Kluyveromyces lactis: one gene and its partner. The protein of the gene in region 2 interacts with the protein of the main gene of each other region in a pairwise test. Links are inferred from orthologs where the notes say so. Each region holds a gene or a part of one and is shown on either strand. Other genes may lie near its edges. The genes, in order: ATP23 and MIA40.

Evidence for each region.
Region 1: the proteins of MIA40 (region 2) and ATP23 interact in binary tests that used the Saccharomyces cerevisiae proteins (3 or more experiments, as listed by UniProt). The link is inferred for Kluyveromyces lactis from reciprocal best matches to the Saccharomyces cerevisiae genes MIA40 and ATP23.

The regions. Positions count from the first base shown.
Region 1 is NC_006039.1:795,094-797,921, reverse strand, and holds ATP23 (putative metalloprotease), read right to left. Parts: upstream 1,379-2,828; coding exon 635-1,378; downstream 1-634. Other genes in the region: ARE2 (sterol acyltransferase), read left to right, coding at 1-500; KLLA0_C09108g (uncharacterized protein), read left to right, coding at 1,863-2,489; KLLA0_C09086g (uncharacterized protein), read left to right, coding at 2,827-2,828. UniProt on the Saccharomyces cerevisiae protein: Has a dual role in the assembly of mitochondrial ATPase. Acts as a protease that removes the N-terminal 10 residues of mitochondrial ATPase CF(0) subunit 6 (ATP6) at the intermembrane space side.
Region 2 is NC_006040.1:227,967-231,388, reverse strand, and holds MIA40 (Mia40p), read right to left. Parts: upstream 1,824-3,422; coding exon 603-1,823; downstream 1-602. Other genes in the region: mRNA splicing protein SPP382, read left to right, coding at 1-226; palmitoyltransferase YKT6, read left to right, coding at 2,223-2,825. UniProt on the Saccharomyces cerevisiae protein: Required for the import and folding of small cysteine-containing proteins (small Tim) in the mitochondrial intermembrane space (IMS). Forms a redox cycle with ERV1 that involves a disulfide relay system.

The DNA of each region.
Region 1 (2,828 bases), on a different chromosome or scaffold from region 2:
AAAAGAACCTGGTATGGCCGAAGCTCTTGTTGGACTTGGCACCAGGTTTTATTATGATGTTTTTGTTGGTCTGGTATTTGATTTGGGATGCAATTTTAAACTGTGTGGCCGAATTGTCCTGTTTTGCAGACCACCATTTCTACTCTGATTGGTGGAACTGTTGCTCCTGGTATGATTTTAGCAGATTGTGGAATCGTCCGGTGCATAGCTTTTTATTGAGACATGTATATCACAGTTCGATTAGTGCGTATCACATGAGTAAAGTTCAAGCCACCTTATTCACATTTTTATTAAGTTCTGTGTTTCACGAGCTAGCCATGTTTGTTCTTTTCAACAAGTTCCGTGGTTATATCATTATCCTGCAAATGTCACAAATTCCATTTACAGCTTTATCAAACATTCCATTGCTCAGAGATAAGAAACTATTTAATAATGTTACCTTCTGGATTGGGATTTGTTTAGGACCAAGTATGACTGGTTTGCTGTACTTGATCTTTTAATTTTGGAGCAGAATAACCAAAATGATGAAATATTCATATGAATGGTCGTCGAATAAATATGTACAAGGTTAAGGTAAATCTAGATACCTTTTATATAAAAGAAAAGTCAAAAAGTTTACAATACAAGGATAATTTTATCTATATATTTCATCAAATGGTCTTGTGTCATTGAAGCATGAGTCCCAGACTTCATCTACAACTCTTTCCGCATGTTCTTTATCTCTACAATTTGGATTTCCTGAAACGCTGATCGCAGCACGTCTTTTCACACAAGCTTGATGACCTCTATCAACCTTAAACCCAGTATTGAACCCACGTCTTGCAAATTCTTGGAAGAACCGACACTCACCACTCAAACTTGAAGCTCGAATCTCAGAACAGGCGTGATGCCTCAAATTTAGCCAATCCACTTCCCATTTCAAATTATCGAAATAATGCACCAATTCATGCGCCAGAGTGTCTTCCAAATGCCATTTATCTTTAATTCTATTCTGACAGATTAGAATACCTAAATCTGGATGAAAACCACCAGATTTCCAGTCCGGACATACATCACATATAATCTTCGATTCGTCAAACTTGAAAACATCTGCATTAGTATTTTTGTTGTTAAGTTTGGCTATCTGTTGCGTCATAAAAATGACAGTTGGTGAATAGTTTAACAACCAATCTCTATACTCATAACATTTGGAACACTGTTTACGCTGTAGCACAAACTTGTAATCATTCTCGTACTGTGTCTCCTCTTCCGGTGTCAATCCCAGGCCCGTTTTGTATTGGAACGTTCTTCTCCACCAGTTGAAGCCGCTAACAGCGGATTCTGATTTCGGCGGATTAGGTTTTATCAAATCTTCCTTTGGAGGCGGTGGTACGGACATTTTTCACTGGCTATCGCTTCAGTACACAGGTTTGCAAGCCTTCCTTTTCTTAATCTAGTGCTGTTGGTTAGGTAGATATTCAAATTTTCTTATGATTTCAAGTGATACTCGAATGAAGAAGATGACCTACGGAGATCTGTTTCTGTGCAGAGACAAAAGTGAGATTCAGCATAAAATAGTGTGTTCATCCTGAAATGAATATAAACATTTTTTCCTTAGATCATATAAACACTTAGGAATGCTATCAATGGTTCATTTCAGAAATGTGTATACAACATTGCAATCTTCTTTTCACACACGTGATTTGGTGGTTTTTCCTTTCTATACCTTCACTATTAATAATTTTTCGATTAAACTGATTTGAGCTGGCGATGAGCTATACAGCATCTCTCGAAGTTGTTTGAAGATATTAGTTGCCTTTCTGTCTAGATTCATTCTCAGTAGTGCCCAGACTGACACAATAGCTATATCAGACTTCAGAAGCATGAATATTTGGATCGCAGCTAGTAACGGGGAGACCGAACTAGTGGAAAAATTTATTAAACAAGGCCAAACCGCAAACGACAAGGATGAAAACGGATACACCCCAATCCACGCGGCTGCAGCATATGGTCATATCGACCTGCTAAAGAAGCTTGTACAAGAGCATAATGGTGATGTAAATATCAAGGACTCTGACAATGACACACCACTTCACCATTGTGAAGATGCGACTACAGCCAGGTCTCTAATAGAACAATTAGGAGCTGATCGTGAGCTTTTGAATAACGAGGGAAAGACATGCTTCCAGGTGTGGCAAGAAACATGCGACGACAACTTGGACCTTTTGAGATATGCGGAAGAAGTCCTCGGAGAAACCATATTCAATACTTCTCTTGGTATTGATAAAGAACAGTTAAATCAATTTAAAGACAACATACGTTACACGTTAGAGAACGATCCAGTAGACGAGACAGATCCCGAATCTTTGGAACGTAGAAAGAAACTAGAGAGCATAATTCAGGGTGAAAACGCAGAAGAAGAGCTTGAAAAGTACATTAGAGATTTGATTCATAATCAATTCTTTTCGAATAACAATGACAGTTCGGAAAACAATAAACGAGTCAAATAAAAATTGGAAGCGTAAAAACTTTATTCCACTAGAAATACCTAATCAAAGGTCGTCCAGTGTTATAATTCATGTATTTCAATTTCGCTAGTGTATGTAATCTATTAAATCATCAATCGCATAGTGTCAATGATTTTATGTTACCCTACTGAAATTTTACGGTCACGATAAAAAATATTTGCGGAACTTAGTAGAGACATCGTCCATCTTGAAGAGAAAAAGATCTTGTATATAGATTCTACTATAGAATTATCTCTTAGGCAATTGAACCTAACCTAAAGCCAGTGTTGTCTTTTTCCTTTGATTGACCAATACAGATATCTAAAAATTATCAAGAAAGAT
Region 2 (3,422 bases):
TTTTTGTCATGATCATGGATTATCCTTCAGAAAAACTGATAATGATACTGCCTCAATTAATATATTTGGCAAAGAGAAGGTAGCTCCGGTATTCACTGTGAGTAAATATAACAATAAAAGAGTAAATGTAGTCCTTATGGGAGATATTTTATGGTTACAAAGGAGAAACAGAACAGAATCAAGATTTGAGCCAATTTTTCTCTACCAATTACTGGATCTAATTTGAAAACAGAATAAGCATGGCATATCATTAGGAAAATGTCTTTATGTAGTGTTTATACACGCTATCAGAACATTTCATTGGATTTTTGTTCGTTTTCACATTGCCATTATGTCGAATGGAATTGTAGAATGTAATAAGAATGTATGTTAATTTTTTTTTTATTGGACAAAGAAGGCGAGTTCGATGAACAGGTCAGTTCATTACGAGAGCCATGGGCTTTTATTTGAATTGGATATAACACAAACAAGGGAACCACGTAATTTTTTTAATTTCTTTAGCTTTAGTTTTATTATCTTTGTTCAAACGTCAGAATTCATGATGCTCATTGGCAAATTTAAAAAAGTATCTTTAACGGCAGCAGTTCAGGGTCGGGAAGATTCTATTTCTTTTCATCGTCAGTGTTCGTGACAGCGGCAGCTTCAGGAGTATCCTTTAGTTGAGGGTTTTCTTCCACATATTTTTCCAAGACAGGTTCGAAAACGGCATTTTCAGTTTGTACTTCAACAGTAGAGGTGGCAGTTGAAACCGGGGTAGTGCTCTTATCCTCGATTTTTGAAGCTTCTGCAGAAGCTTCTTCTTCATCCTTGATTTGTTCAGCATAATAGTCTGGGTATTTTCTGAAACAATTTTGCATAGTGGAGAACTTCTCAACACAGTTGATACCCTTTGGATCAGCTTCAGAGTAGACAAAACATGAAAAAGCGGACTTAAACTCTTCACCGCAAGGACCGTATGCCATACCACCTAAACAAGGACAATCCCAGTTGATTTCACCAGTTTCTGGGTTGTATGCAGTTTGTTGTTCGTTTTTTTTTTCACCTTGAACACCTGCAGCCGCAGCAGCCGCAGTAGCGGACTGTTCAGCAGTGCCACCGGAGATAGACCGAATTTCAGCTTGCTCTTCTGCTTCTGTTATGGTCTCAGCTTCAGCAGGAGATTTTTCATGCAAAACAACATCCGATTCACCTTCTGAACCGTCTTTTGAGGCGGTTTTTACGGCATCTGGGCTTGTTTGTTGAATCTCCTTTTTGTCAGCTTCATCTTCTAAAACAACACCCTTGGCAGTTTTTGAGTCATCGAAGCTCAAAGAGGGAGCTTTGGTATCCTCGGAAATGCCAGTAACAGGTTCATTGGTGGCTTCTCCACTGGCAGCTGGTTCGGTAGCTTGTTCATTGACGGATTCAGCAACTGGCTCAATGGCAGCTGGCTCATCTCCTGATAAGGTGGCTGCTAAGGCCTGGTGTGTCTCCTCGCTATAAGTAATCTCGTTCTCAGGAGTAGTAACTGGCTCAGCACCTTCCTCCTGAGCAGACACCGGAGATTCATCGGCATCCTTCGTAGGTTCAGAAATAGATTGTGATTGGCCCGCTGCAGGAGTCTCTTCAGCAGGCTTCTCAGCAGGAGCAGGCTTCCTCTCAATCAAAGTAGGACACCCATCAGCAACGTAGATGGCACCAAGAGTACTGAACCCAGCCAACAACAATGCTGGCTTGTTCATATGGCTCACTCCACCGGAAGGTGGATGAGCACTGTAAAACCTAATTTGTCTAGCGGATCTAAAAGCAACACGTCTAGTAGCTTGTAAAGAAACACGGAACATTGTCTTCAAAAAAATATGTATATGCCTATAATCAATTGACTCGTCAGCAACTTTCAAACGTTTTCTAAGTGTACTGTAAAAATACCAAACCTAACTAAAAGCAAATTTCTTTCCTCCCGTTGTGGGTATCAATCAGCTTCTCTTTTAAATGTTCCTTTGACAAATTGAAAATGCCTTTGTTAGCAAAAAAAAGAAAAATTCGAATATCAAACAAAATGGATATTGAAGCATTGTGATATGAGGATGGGAAATGATGATGTATTTTGAAGATAACACGGAGACGAGAAGGACAGTGTTATAGTACACGTATAGGGGATCTAAGAATAGTTAAGTTTGGGCAAAATAGTAGCTTTTTTTCTCATTTGACAAGTGGGAGAAAACAGGATACAGGATACAAGGATGAAGATATATTACATTGGAGTTTTAAGAAACAGCGATGATAAGACCCTTGAATTAAGTTCTGTGAAGGACTTATCACAATTTGGGTTCTTTGAAAGGAACAGTGTTGCACAGTTCATGTCCTTTTTCAGTGAGACTGTTGCTGGCAGGACAAGTGCTGGTCAAAGACAGAGTGTTGAAGAAGGTAACTATGTAGGTCACGTTTACGCAAGGCCTGAAGGAATTTGTGGTGTTTTGATTACGGATAAGGAGTACCCAGTAAGACCAGCTTATACGTTGTTGAACAAAGTATTGGATGAGTATTTGGTAGCGCACCCTCCTATCCAGTGGAAGGACGTGACGGAGAGTGACGATTCGCTCAAGTTGAAGGAGTTGGATATCTATATTGCCAAGTATCAGGACCCATCTCAAGCTGATGCAATAATGCGTGTACAGCAAGAATTAGACGAGACCAAGATCACGCTACACAAAACCATTGAAAACGTATTACAAAGAGGTGAGAAATTGGACAATTTGGTAGACAAGTCCGAATCACTATCTGCTGCATCGAGGATGTTCTATAAGCAAGCAAAGAAAACCAATTCGTGCTGTATAGTTATGTAGACGGATTTGAAATAGAGGCCAAAACATGGCCAGCCTGATCATATATAGCCCTTGCTACGAGTATTAAGCATAATAGTAATCAAAATAAAGTAATAGTAAGGTTTCACCGGCGTTTTGACCGCCACCTTTGATCAGCCTTTCGTTCCTTCCTGTCCACTAGGGTCTGATTTATCTATCATCATCTGGCTGAGTACGGGCAGCGGATCAATTTTGAAAGAAATTTTCTCCAAAAAAAACGACCCCGGAGAGGATTGAACTCTCGATCTTGCGATTAACAGTCGCACGCCTTAACCAGCTTGGCCACGGAGTCTACTTGCTGGACGCTGTCTTTTGTCCAAGATACCATAAGGTCCAAGACCGACCATTGCCTGCTCACCTGATATTACGTTATCTGCCTGTTAAATTCGGAGTACTTACTCACAGCGTTATCCCCCCCAAACACATAATATACAGGAGGTAAACAGCAGCTCCAAAAGTCACTCCGAATCTCGCTTTTCTCAAGCTCATCGTTAGCGTATCGATGGTATAGTTCGGGCCCTGTTTCCTGTTCTCCGACCCACCCTGTCTGCTTTCTCCCCACGCTACAATTTTTTTTTC